Linked DNA regions of Macaca mulatta. Each later gene encodes a partner of the first gene's protein in a complex. Links are inferred from orthologs where the notes say so. Each region holds a gene or a part of one and is shown in the gene's direction. Other genes may lie near its edges.

The links.
Region 2: LAMTOR4 (region 1) and FLCN share a complex: the UniProt entries of both Homo sapiens proteins name them as parts of the lysosomal folliculin complex. The link is inferred for Macaca mulatta from reciprocal best matches to the Homo sapiens genes LAMTOR4 and FLCN.
Region 3: LAMTOR4 (region 1) and LAMTOR2 share a complex: the UniProt entries of both Homo sapiens proteins name them as parts of the ragulator complex. The link is inferred for Macaca mulatta from reciprocal best matches to the Homo sapiens genes LAMTOR4 and LAMTOR2.
Region 4: LAMTOR4 (region 1) and FNIP1 share a complex: the UniProt entries of both Homo sapiens proteins name them as parts of the lysosomal folliculin complex. The link is inferred for Macaca mulatta from reciprocal best matches to the Homo sapiens genes LAMTOR4 and FNIP1.
Region 5: LAMTOR4 (region 1) and LAMTOR1 share a complex: the UniProt entries of both Homo sapiens proteins name them as parts of the ragulator complex. The link is inferred for Macaca mulatta from reciprocal best matches to the Homo sapiens genes LAMTOR4 and LAMTOR1.

What each region holds. Positions count from the first base shown.
Region 1 is NC_133408.1:47,471,300-47,474,192, forward strand, and holds the end of LAMTOR4 (ragulator complex protein LAMTOR4), read left to right. Parts: intron 1-403; exon of another isoform or gene 404-1,205; intron 1,206-1,441; coding exon 1,442-1,559; intron 1,560-1,889; coding exon of another isoform or gene 1,890-1,906; coding exon 1,907-2,004; 3' UTR 2,005-2,247; downstream 2,248-2,893. UniProt on the Homo sapiens protein: As part of the Ragulator complex it is involved in amino acid sensing and activation of mTORC1, a signaling complex promoting cell growth in response to growth factors, energy levels, and amino acids.
Region 2 is NC_133421.1:18,770,481-18,774,157, reverse strand, and holds part of FLCN (folliculin), read left to right. Parts: intron 1-1,278; coding exon 1,279-1,469; intron 1,470-3,677. UniProt on the Homo sapiens protein: Multi-functional protein, involved in both the cellular response to amino acid availability and in the regulation of glycolysis.
Region 3 is NC_133406.1:110,879,310-110,883,533, reverse strand, and holds the start of LAMTOR2 (ragulator complex protein LAMTOR2), read left to right. Parts: upstream 1-1,315; 5' UTR 1,316-1,440; coding exon 1,441-1,508; intron 1,509-1,813; coding exon 1,814-1,976; exon of another isoform or gene 1,977-2,994; intron 2,995-4,224. Other genes in the region: UBQLN4 (ubiquilin-4), read right to left, coding at 155-262. UniProt on the Homo sapiens protein: As part of the Ragulator complex it is involved in amino acid sensing and activation of mTORC1, a signaling complex promoting cell growth in response to growth factors, energy levels, and amino acids.
Region 4 is NC_133411.1:140,714,554-140,718,943, reverse strand, and holds the start of FNIP1 (folliculin-interacting protein 1), read left to right. Parts: upstream 1-1,478; 5' UTR 1,479-1,574; coding exon 1,575-1,666; intron 1,667-1,912; exon of another isoform or gene 1,913-2,053; intron 2,054-4,390. UniProt on the Homo sapiens protein: Binding partner of the GTPase-activating protein FLCN: involved in the cellular response to amino acid availability by regulating the non-canonical mTORC1 signaling cascade controlling the MiT/TFE factors TFEB and TFE3.
Region 5 is NC_133419.1:72,398,407-72,402,805, reverse strand, and holds the start of LAMTOR1 (ragulator complex protein LAMTOR1), read left to right. Parts: upstream 1-1,442; 5' UTR 1,443-1,605; coding exon 1,606-1,647; intron 1,648-4,399. UniProt on the Homo sapiens protein: Key component of the Ragulator complex, a multiprotein complex involved in amino acid sensing and activation of mTORC1, a signaling complex promoting cell growth in response to growth factors, energy levels, and amino acids.

The sequences.
Region 1 (2,893 bases):
CCCAACTACTCGGGAGGCTGAGGCAGGAGAATGGCGTGAACCCGGGAGGCGGAGCTTGCAGTGAGCTGAGATCCGGCCACTGCACTCCAGCCTGGGCGGCAGAGCGAGACTCCGTCTCAAAAAAAAAAAAAAAAAAAAAAAAAGAAACATGTTCCTGTGTGGTGGCTCACACCTATAATCCCAGCACTTTCGGAGGCTGCTGAGGTGGGTGGATCACTTGAGGTCAGGAGTTTGAGACCAGCCTAGCCAGCATGGTGAAACCCCATCTTTACTGAAAATACAAAAAACTAGCCTGGCATGGAGGCACATGCCTGTAATCCCAGCTACTTGGGAGGTTGATGCAGGAGAATTGCTTGAACCCAGGAGGCAGAGGTTGCAGCGAGCCAAGAGTGCACCACTGCACTCCAGCCTGGGCGATAGAGTGAGACTCCGTCTCAAAACACAAACAAACAAATCAAAAAAGGAAGTAGACTGGAAAGGAGGTGGATAAGGATAAGGTGAAATTTGATGGCCCAACTTTAGACATTGAGTTTGATGTAAAATAGCAGTTAATATATATTGCTAGCTCAGCAAAAGGAACTAAATCTAGTGGAGGCCCATATCAAGGAAGAGGGAAGAGGAAGTTGAGACAGTCACCAGAAAAGAGGAACCCTAAGCCACTGTCCCATCACTTACTCTAGGGGTCAACAGAGGGAGGGATTCAAGGACAAACGGAATGTTTATGTTGGAGATTGTGCAAACAGGGCAGCAAGTGTGAAGATTGAGAAAAAGATGGAGCCATTAACAGGTCAGTGGTGGGCAGGCATTCATTTCGGAGAATGTGGTTTTATCAAATAGGCAGGGACATGGGAGAAATCCAGTTTCACGGGGTTAGAAAAGCATGGGTCAATAAAGACATGGATGGCCAAGCACGGTGGCTTACGTCTGTAATCCCAGCATTTTGGAAGGCTGAGGCGGGCAGATCATTTGAGGTCAAGAGTTTGAGACCAGCTGATTAATATGGTAAAACCTCGTCTCTACTAAAAATATAAAAAATTAGCCAGGTGTGGTGATGCTGGTATATACCTGTAATCTCAGCTACTTGGGAGGCTAAGGCAGGAGAATCACTTGAACGCGAGAGGCCAAGATTGCACCACTGCACTCCAGCGTGGGTGACAGAACGAGATTCCGTCTCAAAAAAAAAAAAAGAAAAAAAAAAAAAGAGAGATGGATAAGCTGCTGCTCATCCGGGAAAGTCCAGTATTACGGGAAACAGGATGGCATCTGGAGGGTGACAACATAGGGGGAGATTTCAGGTTTTTTCCAAAGCTGGGTGACCCAAGGGTACTGGCAAGCCAAGGGGGAGATGGTCTAAGTGTGAGAGCCAAGGGGACTGTGCCTGGAATTCCGTCCCGAGCCTGTGCCGTAATGCTCGCCCCCTCCCTCCTCCGTCTGCATGCAGTCATCTGGGGACCTGGAGAATGACGAGCAAGCAGCCAGTGCCATCTCTGAGCTGGTCAGCACGGCCTGCGGTTTCCGGCTGCACCACGGCATGAATGTGCCCTTCAAGCGCCTGTCTGGTGAGCCCCTGTCCCTGCCCTTGGTGGTAGTACTGGGAGGAAGGGCCGCTTCCAGAGGCTTCTCTTCTTCCTCCCAGCCTCCCACCATCTCCTCCTGGGGTCTCTGGTCTGGCCACTTTCCTCCCTTTGGGACTCCCCTGTATTAGAATTGTGAATGAGAAGGCAAGAGAAAGGAGATGTAGCAGAGGCCACTCATCTTCAAATCTCTGAGCCTGGAACGATAGAATTTCTTTGGCTTTGATCCCAGCCAATGTGCGTGTGGCCCCGCCCCATGGAGTCTGTTGCACCCACTAACTCTGTGCTCCCTTCCCTCTCCTGGGGCGGGGGAAGGTGTGTCTCTCCTCCAGTGGTCTTTGGAGAACACACGCTGCTGGTGACGGTGTCAGGACAGAGGGTGTTTGTGGTGAAGCGGCAGAACCGAGGTCGGGAGCCCATTGATGTCTGAGCCTGCCGGAGGGCGAGGGTCGGAGAAGCGGATTGGGTCCTGGGCCTCTGTGATGAGGCAGGCACAGCCGTCAGTCTTGGCTTGCTGCTAGAACTAGGGCCTTCTGCTCGCCCACCTCCTACCCCTACCTGGATGGGCCAAAGCTTGGAGACTGTGAGCTGTGTTAAGGAGAACAAGGGCAAGGAGACCTCCCTTTGTGCTCCCTCTCTCCCTCCCTAATAAACATGAGCCTGATGTTCTCTAGCCCAGGGACATGTGTGTTTAGTGTGGGAATGATTACACCCCATGTCTGTCTTCCACCTTCTGGGGAGAAAGTCATGCACTTTAGCCCAAGTTGGGTGTGGCAGGGGTGCCTCTGTGTGCTATAAAACTGGGAAATAGAAAAAGCTGGAGGGGAAGGGAGTCACTCTGAGCCCTGGCGACTTCTGCTCTTCCCATCAGTACACAAACTAGTCATCCTTCTCCCTCCTGAACAGGCATTTAATAGTCTTATTTCAGTTGGAAGCAATAGTTGGAGAATAAGTTACAGGAACAGACCAAAAAAAAAAAAAAAAACCACAACAACTTAAAGTGCTTCAGGCTGCAAAAGTAAACATGAGGGGCAGGAGGCCACCTGCCTGGCCCTGTCCCCAACCCCTGAGACAGGACGGTCACTGTCAGGGGCCCTTAGCCATCACCACCCTCTAATCTCAGCCCTGCAGGAGGGAGGGAGGGAATGTCAGAGGTGGGAAAGAACTCAAAGGGAATGAGGAAGATACTTTGTAAACTTAGAACCAGGGTAAAGGGCGGGGGGCAAGGGAGCTCTGGAAACCCTTGCCCTGGCCTAGGGGTGGGGCCAGCCCCCCCCCACAGGAACTCGGGGAATACTGGTGGCTTAGTCCCAGCCATG
Region 2 (3,677 bases), on another chromosome or scaffold:
GGTCTCGTGATATGAAATGGAGATGTCGTCATTTGTGAGGGCTCCATGAAGATTCATTGAAATGGCAAATACTCATTTCTTCATCTGCGAAATGGAGATAATAGTGCTGACGTCAGAACAGCTGAGAGGACTAAATGAAATGATGTTGGATGCAGCCATAAAGAAGAGTGAAGTTGGGCACTGGTGCATGCCTGGAATCCCAGCACTTGGGAGACCGAGACAGGCGGATTGCTTGAACTCAGGAGTTTGAGACCAGCCTGAGCAACATAGGGAGGTCCAGCCTCCACAAAAAATATGAAAAGTAGCTGGGCGTGGTGGCACATGCCTGTAGTCCCAGCTACTTGGAAGGCTTCATTGGGAGGATCACTTGATCCCAGAAGATTGAGGCTGCAGTGAGCCGCGATCGTGCCACTGCATTCCAGCCTGGGCAACAGAGCCAGACCGTGTCTCAAAGAAGATGGGAATAGTAGACACTGGGGACTCCAGAAGGAGGGAGGGAGGGAGGTAGGGAGGGGAGCAAGGGCTGAAATACTTTCTATCGGATACTATCTGGGCATATTACTTCCTGTGGTTCACTGTCTGGGTGACAGGATTCATAGAAGCCCAAACTTTAGCACCACGCAGCATACCCTTGTAACAGCCGCACACGTACGCCCTCAATCTAAAATAAAAGTGGATTGGGAGGCCGAGGCAGGCGGATCATGAGGTCAGAAGTTCGAGACCAGCCTGGCAGATATGGTGAAATCCTGTCTCTACTAAAAATACAAAAATTAGCTAGGTGTGGTGGCAAGCGCCTATAGTCCCAGCTACTCAGGAGGCTGAGGCAGAAGAATCACTTGAACCCGGGAGGCAGAGGTCGCAGTGAGCCGAGATGGTGCCATTGCATTCCAGCCTGGGCGACAGAGCAAGATTCCGTCTCAAAAAAAAAAGTGGAAAAAAAAGAAACAATGTGTAGATCCTCAAGAACTGTGGCCGACTGGGTGTGCTCCGTAGACACACTGTTGGCGTTTTTCTCACTGGTTTGAGTTTTCTCACCAGCAAAGAACAGCTGACGGTCTTTCTGTAGGTGCTTCTAAGAGAGATGTGTGGTGCCCTGGGCTAAGTAGACAGCAACTGAGCCCTCCCTCCCACCCCAGGGCTCCCAGAGCAGCAGGGAGCATGGGACCTGGCCGCAGCCAGGAATCTACACTGACTGGCTCAGCCCACCATGTGCCTTGGGCTGAAGTCAGGGGACAAGACTGTTTGTATTTGTAACTGTCCGTGTTGTCTGTCTTGCAGATTTAGAAGAGGAATCAGAAAGCTGGGACAACTCTGAGGCTGAAGAGGAAGAGAAAGCCCCTGTGTTGACGGAGGGTGTAGAAGGGCGGGAGCTGACCCAGGGCACAGCAGAGTCCTCCTCTCTCTCAGGCTGTGGGAGCTGGCAGCCCCGGAAGCTGCCAGTCTTCAAGTCCCTCCGGCACATGAGGCAGGTAGGCAGCAGGGGCAAAGCACATCAGGAACTCGGGAGGAGAGCCCAGCCGTCCCTGCCCACACGCCTTGCCTCTGGACCCTGCATCTTCAAAACCCTGCAGGAAGTGACTGACAGCCTCCTCGGTGGGTGGCTGGGGGCACGGGGCGTCGGGGGTATTAGCCCTAGGATCAGTGCTCACCTTTCAATGATGACCTAAGTATCTTCAAAGAAAAGCCCACATAGTTGGCATCCCATGGTCCTCTAATCCTCTAAGAACCTCCTAAAGGCATTGAACAGCACCATAATTGGTTTGGATGCAGCCTGGACCCTGCCCATTGAAAGTCATGGTCATTCTTGGCTGGGTGCGATGGCTCACACTTGTAATCCCAGCACTTTGTGAGGCCGAGGGGGGCGGATCACGAGGTCAGGAGATCGAGACCAGCCTGGCCAACATAGTGAAACCCCATCTCTACTAAAATATAAAAATTAGCTGGCCATGGTGGTGTGCACCTGTAGTCCCAGCTACTCGGGAGGCTGAGGCAGGAGAATCACTTGAACCTGGGAGGCAAATGTTGCAGTGAGCCGAGATTGCGCCACTGTACTCCAGCCTGGGTGACAGAGTGAGATTCCATCTCAAAAAAAAAAAAAAAAAGAGAGAACCTGCATACAAACCATAGTAGTAAACAGCAGCCAAACCATGGAATATGATTAATTAGAAGAAATAGGCAGTGTGTGTTTAGGGTGATGTATGTACATGTGTGCCTGCCAGACATGACAGAATCTAACAGCGTTGCCTCCGGGTATAGCGAGTCAGATGCCGGGAGAGAGGGGTGCGGGTTGCTGGATTACAAGGGCAGGCTGCCTTCTTACAAGATTCTCCTGTGTGTGTTTTTCCAATGAGCACTGATTCATCAGAAGAGAGTTACTTGTTTTGGAAAATGGAGTGAGACTGATTTCATGGCAGATGTCCTTGGGGCTTCTGGATGAAAACACTCATTCCATCAAAATCCTGCATTCGGCTGAAACCTTCCTTGTCCATTGCTTATGTCGATGAAGGTTGGAAGGGCTCTGGAATTCCTCTGGAGGTGGGACTGCGTTGAGGCTGTTGGGGTTTGGTGAAACGTGGTATTGTGGTCTCTCTCTCACACTGTGTTTCAAAGCTGTGTTTGTCTTCTTAGAAGCCATGAGACAGCAGGCTGGACTTTCCTAAGGTGTCAGTGTCACGGAAGTTAATAATGGGGTGTGGGGAGAGGCTGTTCTAGGTTAAAGAGTAAGGACAGGCCGGGTGTGGTGGCTCACGCCTGTAATCCCAGCACTTTGTGAGGCTGAGGTGGGCGGATCATGAGGTCAGGAGGTCGAGACTATCCTGGCTAACACGGTGAAACCCCATCTATACTAAAAATACAAAAATTTAGCTGGGCGTGGTGGCAGGCGCCTGTAGTCCCAGCTACTCTGAAGACTGAGGCAGAAGAGTGGCGTAAACCCGGGAGGTGGAGCTTGCAGTGAGCTGAGATCGTACCACTGCACTCCAGCCTAGGTGACAGAGCAAGACTCCATCTCAAAAAAATAGAAAGAAAAAGGGGCTGGGCGCGGTGGCTCACTCCTGTAATCCCAGCACTTTGGGAGGCCGAGGCAGGCGGATCACAAGGTCAGGAGATGGAGACCATCCTGGCTAACAAGGTGAAACCCTGTCTCTACTAAAAATACGAAAACAAAATTAGCTGGGCGTGGTGGCGGGCGCCTGTAGTCCCAGCTACTCGGGAGGCTGAGGCCAGAGAATGACGTGAACCCAGGAGGCAGAGCTTGCAGTGAGCCGAGATTGCACCACTGCACTCCAGCCTGGGCGACAGAGCGAGACTCCGTCTCAAAAAAAAGAAAGAAAAAGAAGGAAGGAAGGAAGGAGAGAGAAAGAGCAGGGAGGAAGGAAAGAAAGGAAAAGAAAAGGAAGGAAAGAGAAAGAAAGAAAAAGGACATGGCAACGAAAAACAATCATGGTCCTGTAGTAGCTCCTGGATCCAAAGAACAGCAGCCGTCAAGCAGGCAGGTGCCCCGGGCTTGAGCACGCGGCTGGATATCAGGTGCATCCATCCGGGCCCTCCTGGCTGCAGTCATGGTCTCAGCTGTGGAGATGCCCTTGTTCTCCTGGGTGCTGCCATGTCGAGGGCCCTATAGCTTGCTTTCAAATGGTTCAGCAGAAAGTGTCTGTAGAGAGAAGGTGAATATTGCA
Region 3 (4,224 bases), on another chromosome or scaffold:
CTACCCGACTCTCCTTCCCTTCAGCTCCTCGGAGTCCCAGCTGGCCCCCGCTCTCCTCTCCGGGGCCCTCCAGGACGCCAGACCGTCAGGGAGGCCCCCATCTCTTCGCAGACCCCTCCTCCGCGCTCCCCCCGCCTCCCGCCTGCTGTACTACCTCCTTGACCGAGGCTCGATCGCAGATCACAATTTCCTCCTTGTCCTTAGGGGTCTTGACGGTGACCCGAATAGGGGGCCTCGTCTCGGCCCCGCTCGGCTCCGCCATGCCGCCGCCGCCACCCGGCCGCCCGCCAGCCCGCCCGGCTCCTCCTCCTCCCCGCCCGCCCGGCCGGCCCGGCTCGGCTCCTGCGCCTCCAACACTCCCCTCTCTCCACCTCTCCCCTCCCCTCCCCTCCCCTCCTCTCCCCTCCCCTCCCTGAGGCTTCACCGCCCCCTCCAGACCAGCCGCAGCCACAGCGCCCCGGGCGGACCGGGGGGGCCACTGCAGCGGGGTCCGCCCAGGGCCAAGCCCCAGGTCCGGAATCCGGCCAGGGTCTCGCCAAGCTGGGGCTCCTGGGGAGGCTCTGGGCGGGGGAAGGGACGTGCCCTTCACTGCGGGGGCGAGGGCGAACTCCCCGGGAGACCGCGGCCCAACGCTGCTCGCCCGAGCCGTGCCGCCGTCCCCTCCGGCCCAAAGCCTCCCCGCCCCCTCCGCGGCTAACTCTGCTCCGGGACAAAGGACTTTGTGTGTCGCCGCTTTATCTCCGTTCCCTGTGATAACTTGGTCTTTCTTGGAAGCCCCAAGTCCCTTCCAGGCCAGGGGCCTTTCCCGACTTGGAGGTTGGGTTTCCCACCAAGCACGTCCACTTAGGATCTCAGCTCTAGGACTGACCCTATAGCCCCGAGGGTCGCGGCCTAAATGGTCTGTTGCGAACGGTTCCAGGGAGCTGGGTTTTGGCTGCGTGGCCTTTCAGAGCCTTGATTTCCTCAAGATAATAATAGTACCTCTCGCCTCATCGCACAGAATTGTGCATAACGGAGAAAACTGTTTTGAAAGTAACCAAAGGCGCGCCTGACAAATATGAGGATGTAGTATAATTATTGAATCGTGGACTGCCAAGCGGACACGTTGATTCCTTTCTCCCCGAAGGGGTTAAATGTCCTTCCAGCGCTGCAGCTGTCCTTTCACTCCCGCTCTTTTCCGCCCCCACAACCGCGTGGTCCGCCTGGAAAGGCGAACTATAGTTCCCATGGTGCCTCGCGAGGTCACGAGGAACTACGATTCCCAGAGACCCCCGCGGCGGGGCGGTGTTGAGTCGGAACCACAATAGCCAGGCGAGGAAACTACAACTCCCAGGGCATCCCGGAGCAGGCCAACGGGACTACGGGAAGCAGCGGGCAGCGGCCCGCGGGAGGCATCTCGGAGGATCTGGGTGCAAAAACCCAGGGTTAGGAGCGGTAGGCATGCTGCGCCCCAAGGCTTTGACCCAGGTGCTAAGCCAAGCCAACACTGGAGGCGTCCAGAGCACCCTGTGAGTGCGGACCACGGACCCCAGCGGCGCGCGCTGCAGTGGAGCGGCGTGCGACTCCCTGAGGGAGGGGTGGGGAAGGATCGCCCGGAAGGGAGGAGGCGTCAGAGGGGGCAGTGGCTGGGGGTACCGGCCGGGAGGTCACCTCTCGAAAAGGGAGGCCGGTGTGCTGGGTGCTTAGGGCACGTTCCGGGACACACTCAGCCGAGAGCCTTGCTGGATGTGCCCGTGGCGGGACTTGAGATGGAAACCCAGACGTTTTACTCCCCGCGCTGAGCACATCGTTATCCCTCCCCGCCCCTCACCAGGCTGCTGAATAACGAGGGATCACTGCTGGCCTACTCTGGTTACGGGGACACTGACGCCCGGGTCACCGCTGCCATAGCCAGTAACATCTGGGCCGCCTACGACCGGAACGGGAACCAAGCATTTAATGAAGACAATCTCAAATTCATCCTCATGGACTGCATGGTATGGAGAGGGGAGCCAGACTTCCCCTGTCCCCCAAGGGGATCCCAAGGGGGCGACCTGGACCCCATCCTGGATGGTTGGAGGGGCAGGGACAGGATCTCCGGAAGATTACTAAGAGTTGGTCTGCAGCAGCATTTGTAATAGGCAGGACCCTATTCATCAAGTGGTGGTGAGGAAGGAGCCCTGGACCTGAGAGGTCTGACTTGGGTTCTGGTCTCAGCCATCCACTTATCAGTTGTGGAACCTTGGGTAAGTCGCTTAACCTCTCTCAGCTTCCTTACCTCATGTCTAAGGAGAAGACAATTTCCCTCTCCCCGCTTCCCTCGTGGGTTGTTGTGAAGGTCAAATGAAATAATGGGTATAAACAGTAGAATGACGTGCAAACACAAAGTGTTGTCATCCCAGCTTCACCGACTCACAGAACCATGGCAGTCTCCAGACCCTAGTCCAACCCCTTAAGGTTACAAAGAAAGGAAAATGAAGTCCAGAAAGGGGAAGTCGCCATTAGACTGTGAACTTCCTAGTATCTGTTCAGTTAACAAATATTTAGGTCCTTGCAGTGTTCTCAGGACTAGGGAAAAAAAACAGCAAACAGAAAGACAAAACCCCCAGACCTAATAAATCTTACACAGTGATGCGATCACAGCTCACTGCAGCCTCGACCTCCCTGGGCTCAGGTGATCCTGCTGCCCCAGCCTCCTGAGTAGCTGTGACTACAGTCATGCACCACCACACCTCACTAAGTTTTGGATTTTTTGCAGAGACTGGGTTTTGCCATGTTGCCCAGGCTGGTCTCAAACTCCTGGCTCAAGTGATCCACCCACCTCGGCCTCCCAAAGTGATGGGATTACAGGTGTGAGTCACTGTGCCCGGCCACATTTTTTAAAATAAGTAAAATATGTAGTATATATTAGGTATTGAAATTGCAATGGAGAGAAAGCAGGGAAGTTAAAGAGTATGAGTTTGTTGGGCGTATGTGTCAGGGACAGTCTCACTGGAAAGGTGATATTTGATCAAAGATGTGAAGAAAGGTGGGGGACAAGCCATGTGGCTATCTGAGGGAAGAATATTTTGGACAGAACAGCAAGTACCAAGGCCCTGAGGCAGAATTATGCCTGCTCAAGGATCAACAGGGTTGGTTGGTATGGCTGGAGTTGCATGAGAATGGAGGAGGGTTAAGTAGGAGATAAGGTCAGAGAGGCAGGGAGTGCAGTGCTTGGTTCCTGGCATACAATGAATACCTAGTAAAAGTTTGCCGAACTTACTTTTGTTTTTTTCAAATCGGCCAGAGGGTGAACTCTCCAGGAAGGATCTTCATAGTAACTCAACTGCCTACTCTCCCCTACCCCCTGCACAACCAATGCCATTTTTAGTTCAACATAAGACTCCTACTGGATGCCTAGAGCTGGTGCTATAAGGAAATAGCTTTCAAACGTTTTGACCACAACCCAGCCATAAGAAATATATTTTAAAGGGCCGGCACGGTGGCTCATGCCTGTAATCCCAGCACTTTGGGAGGCTGAGGCGGGCAGATCATGAGGTCAGGTGTTCAAGACCAGCCTGGCCAACATGGTGAAACCCTGTCTCTACTAAAAGTACAAAAAATTAGTCAGGCATGGTGGCATGTGCCTGTAATCCCAGCCACTAAGGAAACTGAGGCAGGAGAATCACTTGAACCCAGGAGGTGGAGGTTGCAGTGAGCTGAGATCACGCCATTGCACTCCAGCCTGGGCAACAGAGCGAGACTCCATCTCAAAAAAAAAACCAAAACAAACAAACAAACAAAAAACAAATACATTTTAAGGCTGAGCGCAGTGTCTCACTCCTGTAATCCCAACACAGACTGAGGCTGGAGGATACTTGAGGCCAGGAGTTTGAGACCAGCCTTGGTGACCTAACAAGACCTCATCTCTACAAAAACTTTTTTTAAAAATAAATAAATAAATAAATAGGAAATAATTTTTTAAGAAAGACATTTTAAGTCACAGCTCAACACACACATATACCCACTAAAACAAAAGTCATGAAACAATACTTTTCCTACTACATGTAATATACTTCATTTTTTCTTTTTTCTTTTTTAATGCTGATCAACCTTCTTTTTTTTTTTTTTTCTTTTTTTTTTTGAGACGGAGTCTCACGCTGTTGCCCAGGCTGGAGTGCAGTGGCGCGATCTCGGCTCACTGCAAGCTCCGCCTCCCGGGTTCCCGCCATTCTCCTGCCTCAGCCTCCTGAGTAGCTGGGACTA
Region 4 (4,390 bases), on another chromosome or scaffold:
GCAGGCATGCGCCACCATACTGGCTAATTTTTTGGAGATGGGGTTTCACCATGTTGGTCAGGCTGGTTGGGAACTCCTGACCTCAGGTGATCCACTCGCCATGGCCTCCCAAAGTGCTGGGATTACAGGCGTGAGCCACAGCGCCCGGCCACACCTGGCTAATTAAAAAAATTTTTTTTGTAGAGATGGGGTCTTACTGTTGACCAAGCTGGTCTGGAACTACTGAGCTCAAGCGATCTGCTTGCCTCTGCCTTGCAGTATTGGGATTACAGACGTGAGCTACCACGCCTGCCCAAAGTATTTTTATCCAGCCTTCCAACCATATACAAGTTATTTCCTAAATTTCTCTGAGGATTGCATCCCATTGTACAAGCTTCGTTATCCTGGAGGGGGAGTGAGTGAATGGATGGGGGTGCTGAAAATTTATAAGATTAGTTTGCTCCAAACTCTGGTATATTTTGGTTCCATGGGTTAAATAAGACTGTGAGGTCACATGTGAGCAACGTTTTTCTTTTTTTAGAAAGCGTTTCTTCCCTGTAACTTGGTTAAAATTCCACAGTTCCTCCCTTCTTCACACCTAACCATTAAGATAGATTAAAAATCTAAATAATTAGCGTAAAAGTTTAGATATCTGTACATACATGTCTTTAGGCTTCCTGACTTCGTTGGTTTCACCTGATTTTGTTGGTTACCAAGGAAACAGCCTAACTCCTGAGCCTCCAATCGCTAGCTCTTCCACGAGACTAATTCCTGATGTCAGGGTTTGAGGCACTAGTACAAACTCTGCCCGCAGTCCCTGCCCGAGGTCGTCTTTGCGGGGAGCCATGGCTGTGGCAGGGGTCCCGGCAGGTTCCTCCACCAGTCCCTGTGAGCCAGCCCCCGCGCTGTCCAGATCCCAGACCTCTCGCGGGCCGGAGCGGCCTTCTAAGGGCGGGCCTGGGGTCCTGGGCTCAAAGTCCAGCCTTGGCCGAGGCCCCACGGGTACGCTCGTGCGCCTTCCGTGCTCCAGGGGCCGCCAGACTCTCCCCGGCGCGGAATGGAGGTGTGAAGCCGCAGAAGCTAAGGAGGGGCTGACAAGGGAGAATAGGTTGCCCATGGTTCCCTACGCAACTCTGTGGGTGCGGGGAGTCGAAGGCTTCTGCACTCCAAGGCTCCTGGCATCGTCCCCGCGCCACCCTGGCGCAGCCTCTGATGGTAGCCGACAGCCTCACAGAGGAGGATCGAGACTGAGCCTACTCCCCCTACACATCCCTAGCCACCTTCCAGTCTTGTCCTCTCGGCACACGCCCCGCCCCGTGAGCTGCCACGTGACGGGAAACGCCAGTGCGCCTAATGGAGGTAGCTCCACCCCACGCCCCCGCCTTGCCCCTGCTCCGCGCGCCGCCACGTGATGCGGCCCACCTCCAGCCAATGAGCGCCGGCCTTGCCTCGCGCCCCGCCCCGCGCGCCGTGGCCGTTTGAAGTGACTAATTTCTGTCATATGACTGAGGCGCCCATGGGGGTGGCGGGGCGGCTCTAGGAGCAGGGGCCTACCAAGCGCCCAGCGGAGCGACCCCTGCCTGGCCGTGGGGAGCATGGCCCCTACGCTGTTCCAGAAGCTCTTCAGCAAGAAGACCGGGCTGGGCGCGCCCGGCCGCGACGCCCGGGATCCAGATTGCGGGTTCAGGTAGGGCGCTGTGGGGCGGGGGTCGCGGAGCCGATGGCCTTGTGGACTCTGGGCTCCAGGGGTGTTGGGGCCTTCGGTTTTCCGACCCAAGCGGAAGCGCCGCGCCGAGACCAGCATCTGGTCCTCGGTGGGGTGGAGCCGGCTGCTGGCTCGCGCTGAAGGGTTGGAGCGAGGTCCTACCTCTTCTCTTACCCCACCCGCCTCGCCGTTGCCCCTTCCCCCTTCTCCCGTCGGTTTGTTTACTACCTGACCCCAGCCACGCGCGACTCTGCTCCTCCGGATCTAGCACCGCGGCCTGAGACTTCGGGTCCACACGCCTTCCTGGCACCGAGTAGAGTTGGGCGCGGGCTGGATTGGACCTCAGCCGCCGTACTCCGGGCGGCGAAGTTCTCCCCTCCTCCCCGTGACCAGTTGTCCTCCGGGCGCTGCGTTCCAGCTCCGTTGGCGTTGTGGAGAGAGCGGCACGTTTGGCCAAGCTTCTGAGTTGAGAGAAGGCTGGAGGAGCAAGTAGGCAAGGTGCCGTTCTTTCAGGTTTCTTGGACGCTAAAATTGGAGGTGTGCGGTAACCGGACCGAGCGACCTTAATGTTATCGAAGGAGAAATGTGAAACTTGAGTTTAGAGTTACTACTGAAGCAAGACAACATTAAATGAAATCTGGCCTTGGAATTGGCCGTAGATTCTTCCTCTTTAGAACTGTTACTGAAAAGGAGTCTTAAAAATTGAAAATGTTAGCAGAGCATTTTGTGGTGGTACAGGCTTTGTTGATTTTTCGTTGTAGTACCTGTTGCTGGCAGAGTAGCTTTTCAGAATTGTAAGATTTGATATAAACCTGAATTCAAGGTGAAATTTAGTCGTTAAACCTGAGGAGATTATGTCCAAACAGCCTTTGTAAATATTGCAGTGTGGAAACTTGCAAATATAACTAGGCTAAATGTCAAATACCACACAAACTTGGTAGGATAGCAAAGAGCCCAGTTGTACAACAGTAGTAGAAACAACAAAAAAAGAGAGAATCTGTCAAATTTTGGAACAGGCAAAGTTGAAATGATTGTGCCACACTGGTTTAAGAAATTTTGCTATTCTTAAAATTATTCACTCTCTCTTGCTAATGCAGATCTCATCAGGAAACATTCAGTAAATGCATATGGAATTGAAGACATTTTTCTACGTATCTCTCTTTTCCCCTGAAAAATAAATGTGTCATGCTCATCTGTCTCTCTCTAAACATTTCTTTAGTGTTTTTCCTTTGAAAAATGAAAGTGCAGCTTAGATGATACTACATTGAGCCATCTACTAACTCAAGCGACAGTAGGAAACAGGTTTCGATAGGATATTTCAAAGGTGGCATTTGAATAGACAACTGCTTTCTATTTCTGGGCAAAGATTGACTTTGGGTACCTAGGTTTACAAGGGTCTCAAGTCGCTCATATGAAAAAACATTTTCACGTCTGTTTTTCAAAAATGTAAAGTCTACTATATAGTTGCGTAATACTATTTTACAGTTACCAAAGAACTTTCTCATCAGTTATCTTATTTGATGTTTCACAACAATCTTACGAGATAGAGCAAGTAGCAGTGCAGATAAGTATATATTTCTGCCAGTGGAAGTAAGAATTATCTGTAAGCCCAATAACTGCAGTACATTATAGAATTGTTCACTTTAAAAATAAAATGTGTGATTGTGAGCAATGAAAACTGATGAAACAGAATAGGCATATCTGAAGGAAAAAAAACCATTCTGGTTAATGTCACATAGCTAGTAACTTACAGATCTAATCAACCCAGGGTTTTTAAAAAACTATTTCATTGAGCTATAATTTATACACAATAAAGTATAATACATTTTAAGCATACATTGTATACAGTTGTATACCCACCACCCCTATGAAGTTTTAGAACACTTCCATTACCCAAAAAGTTCCCTCATGCTGTGTTGCAGCCTAACCCCTCCTCACCCAGGGCAGTCACTGATACTTTCTGTCATAATCTTGTGTCTGGCTTGTTTGTTGCTTTTATTAGTTCCCTCTTTTTTTTTTTTTTTTTGAGACAGGGTCTCTGTCAACAGGCTGGAGTGTGGTGGCGCGACCTCGCCTAAAGCACCGTCAATCTCCTAGGCTCAAGGGATCCTCTCACCTTGGCCTCCCAGAGTTCTGGCCTTACAGGGATGAGCTACCACACCCAGCTAGTTAATTCAATTTTATCACTGAATGGTATTCCATTGTATGGCTATACCATGATTTGTTTATTCACTCACTAGTTGGAGGACATTTGGTTTGTTTTTTTTTCCCAGATTTGGGCTATTATAAATAATGCTGCTGTTAATGTTTGTGTATAAGTCTTTATGTGGACATATATTTTCATTTCTCTTGGGTAGATACCTAGGAGTAGAGTTGCAGAGTCATATGCTAAGTGTTGTGTTTAACATAAAAAATTGTCAAACTTTTCCAAAATAGTTTTACCATTTTGTGTTCTCAGTAGCAATGCATGAAGATTACCGTTTCTTCACAATATCTTCAATATTGATACCGTTTTTTAATTAAAAATTTTTATTGTAAAAACCATGTAAAATTTACTTTTTTTTTTTTTTTTTTTGAGATAGGGTCTCACTTGTTGCTCAGGCTAGAGTGCCATGATACAATTAAGGCTCATTGCAGCCTTGACCTCCTGGGCTCAAGTGATCCTCCCACCTCAGCCTCCTGAGTAGCCTCCTAAATATCCTCCCA
Region 5 (4,399 bases), on another chromosome or scaffold:
CCCTTCAGGAACCTCAAAAGATTTACAGAACCTCAGGGTCTTGATTTGAGGGGTTATAAGAGGTACGAGATCTGGCGACTTCTGCGATCCCTTGGATCAGGAGATGGGGCATGGGGTGAGCCAAGGTGATGGGGTGACTGTAATGTACTCATTGATACGCAAGTTTTTTGTAAGCAAGGCCATGCCTTGGGCCACAGGTAAGAGTCAGAACCTGTCATTGTGCTCTAGGAACTCCCAAGTTTGGTAGGTGAGACTGACCCAGGAACATAGAATATAGTGTGATCACTATTGGATGTTCCACGACTACAGGGACTTTGGCTGTTTTGTGAACTGATGCATATCCAGATATAACAGTGTGTGGCACATAGTAGACGCTCAGCAAATATTTGTTAATAGATGCATGAATTAACACTGGATGAGGATTAAGCATAGAGAGCTGGACATGTCCAGAGAATGGGGTCAGAGAAGGTAATCAGGAGGACATTGTACTGAGTCTCGAAGACAGTAGGCAGACCAGGCTGCATGTGCAAAGTCCAGTAGATCAATCAGGAAACATCATTTCTCTATGTCCAGTGAAACAGATTGCTCACCCCTCCACCCCCTCACCCCTCACCTCAGAACATGCAGTGGCAGAGAGGTGTCAGGCTCTGCGTGACTTTGATATGTCAGATGGGTAATGTGCCAAAACAAGATTTGAGGGTGGGCGCATTTCACACACGCGGAATCACACGCGCATGAACAACAAATGGATCACTATACAATTTTGGACGGACTTGGACCTGTGTTCAGGGCCCAAGGGAAGACATGGGGGAGGAGGGGCGTTTAGGAAAAGAGAACTGATGGTCAGCTTTGTGCGTTAGATTTACTATGGGTCCTGTTAAAAAAAAGGCAGAATTAAAGATAAAAGCCTGAAGGCAGAGAGGTCAGTGAGGTGACTTCTATCTCCTCCACCAGGATTTATCTCCGCTCCGCGTCAGCATGTGAAGGAGTATAAGGTCCCTTCTTCCTGTAAGTCGCAGATCCCCAGCCCAGGTGCAGAATACACCCTCCGTGTATTCACCCCCAGCCCAGCTGGGCGATACACCCTCTGTTCCCCTACTGGGTACCGGTCATCTGGATCTTCTGTGTGTGCACCCAGGCTGTACGATCTAGGAGCGTCAGGCCTGGATCCCACTCGCCCCTCGCATGGCATTTAGAAGAGTATATCACGAGGGCATATAAGGGCATTTGGTACGAGTTCGCTCAATGGCCCAGAGAAGTGGCCTAGTGGCCACGAGAACGCATAACACTATTCACGACGGCCACTTCTGCCAGTTTAGAGACTGGAAAGATGAAGTCATGTGATCCGCCCCTCCCTTTCCTCGCTTCACTTGCCTGCGTGTCCGGTTACGCCTTCCTATTGGTTGACAACGATCACGCGCTAGCGGGCGGGACCGGAAGCCGGGGTATTGCCTGAGGCGGCCCAGCGGCTCCGGGAGAAGGGATACTGGGGGTGGCGGCGGGTGGTTGCCTGCGGGAGGCAGTTGCGGGTCATGTGACCGGAAGGGCTCCTGACGGACGCCGTCCCTCCTCGGCGCGGCCTGAGCGCCCGGCCTGACCCCTGCCATGGGGTGCTGCTACAGCAGCGAGAACGAGGACTCGGACCAGGTGCGGCCGCGGCAGGCGGGGCTCGGGAATGAGGGCTAAGACCCTGGGGCTTGGGGCCCCAGAAAGAAATCTGCGGAGAACGGGCCAGGACTGCAGGGCTCGATGAATACGGAGGCCTGGAGGGGACAGATTACACAGGAGACGCCAAGCCGGACTCCTACCCCAGTTAAAGCCCCAGCTTTCTACGCGGTCCCCGCCTCGGGGTGTACAGGCAGCCGCCTGTCCGGCTCGCTCCCACCACTTCCGTTTGCTCCTACCTTCAAAACTTTCCAGATTCAAGGATCCTCAGTCTAGGTCCCCGGGAAATACTCCCTTCCCAGCTTCCTGTCTTCTCTGTATTAGTGGGTTTTGCGAATCCATTGCAGGGGTGGGTAAGCTGAGGCCCTGAGTTAGGCTGTCCTGCGATGAATCAGGAATTCATGTATCGTCTTAGTCCCTGGGGTTGCAGAAGGAAGGTCGCTGCTAGTTTAGGGCCAGAGGACGATTCTGGAAGTTGGTGGCCTTTGAGTTGGCCAATGAAGGATTTAATGGATACAGTGAGGACATCGGGACATGGGGGAAATTGTCTGGGAAGCAACAAAGAGGGTTTAGCTTTGACTAGATTGTGGTAAAAGAGAAATGGAGCGGGAAGTTCATTTGGGTCTGAGTTTGGCTTGCCTCAGTGCAGTCTGCCTGGGGCCTGAGGGTTCCTTTAGCTGGAGACATGCCTGTTCTGAGAATTTGGCTGTAGATCTGATCCCTCTGACGAAAGGCTTAGGCTGGGGAGACCTGTACAGTTTTAAATTCTCCCTCTTCCTCTTAGTGCATTCTCACTTCTCTCCACATTCTAATCCCTGCCCCGCCTGGCCTGACATTCAAGGATGAAGTCACAAGTTGCTGTCCACTCTTTTTTGATCGTCTCTAACCCTGGATTCTACATTTGAACATATAGTAGACCTGAGAAAGTAGAAAGGTTTCAAGTAGCTCACAGTCTAATAGGGGAGATGGTCACAAAAATAGATTATATCACTGGTACTTGGGAAGTAGTTATTTCTTCAGTGAACGTATTTTGGATTAAGGGCTTAAGCTTAGGAAAATGTCATTTGTGGCCGGGCGCGGTGGCTCAAGCCTGTAATCCCAGCACTTTGGGAGGCCGAGACGGGTGGATCATGAGGTCAGGAGATCGAGACCATCCTGGCTAACACGGTGAAACCCCGTCTCTACTAAAACAGGCAAAAAAAAAACTAGCCGGGTGAGGTGGCGGGCGCCTGTAGTCCCAGCTACTCGGGAGGCTGAGGCAGGAGAATGGCGTGGACCCGGGAGGCGGAGCTTGCAGTGAGCTGAGATCCGGCCACTGCACTCCAGCCTGGGAGACAGTGAGACTCCGTCTCAAAAAAAAAAAAAAAAAAGAAAATGTCATTTGTATGGGAAGCAAGGGTCGCTTCTGGTTCTCAATTCTTCATACACCCAATGAACACATATTTCCTTTGCTCTGTGTTAGGCATGTGTCATGCCTAATACCTCTCACTTCACCTCCACCTTTTTGAGAAAGAGACAACAATAACCCTGCCTACTGGGAGAGCTGTGGCCTAGTGGGAAATTGTCCCTTAAAGCATAATGTGGACTCTTGCAGGGAATGAGTCAAGAAGGATTAATGCCTTATGAGAAAGGATACCAGCTTCTACTTGGAAGGGAGAGCTGGGCCTGCTGCTCTCCTGAATCTCTACCTTCTCCTTGGTGGGCTCTCCTTTCTGTTCCTAACACCCAGAGAAGATGTTTAATCACTGCTGGGTGATTTGAGGCCTCACGTAGCAAGAGCCGTAACCATCCACCTCCCAGAGTCCCTCTTTCAGTTCTTGGGCAGGCTCCTCTCCCACTCTCATCTCTGTCTCTTTATCACAATAAAAAATGTACAACACATTACAGTTTACAAAGGGCCGTGATAGTTATCTAATTTGACTCTTGCCAGACATCTGTCATATTAGTGTGGGTTATGTCTATTTAAAGGTGAGGAAAAAGTTCAGAGAAGCTAAGTGATTTGGCCAAGCTGGGAAGTGCTAATGCCCGGGTGTTCTGATGCCAAGCCATGTACTTTATCCATGGGGCCAAGCAGTCTCATCTATGCCCCTAGACCAGGTGGCCAGTCATGGGCAGGGTGCTATGTCTGTGCTAAGGTAGACAGTGAAACCCTGCCTCTTGGGTTACACTGACGCAGAGACAAACCTTGATGTGACAAACCTAACCCATGCTCCACTCGCACTTCGGGAGTGGGGTGATACTTGTCTACTCTGAAGGGGGTAGCATGGCCTCTTCTTTAAGTCTAGGTTTCAAGAAAACAACCTTGTTCCTCCCTTGATCTTAGCTGAAGGCTGAGAAGTGATCAGCCAGCCTTCTTCTTGAAGAACCCCTGATAGGGAAGAGACTACCCTGTCCTGCAGGAAGATCTGTCTGAAGTGGAGCTGGGAGAAGGACAGACACATAGGAAGCTAACTTGGGCCTCATTATGGAGCCAGCTTTCCTTAGAAATACATAGTTTTATCTTTGGCAAACATTTTGTCTTTTTAGCTCTTTTAATACTGAGCCTGTGTTTTAGGGAGGAAGGGTGTCTGGGAGTTTACAGAGGTGATGGGGCAAAGCCCACAGCTTCTGTCTTTTGCTGCTGGGAACTGGATCAAATTGCCTGAGGACACTTGGGCAACCTAGGCTTGAGAAAGAAGAGTAAGGTGAAAAGGCTGGGCCTCCCTAAGCAGGGCAGGAGGAAGTAGCCCTCTAC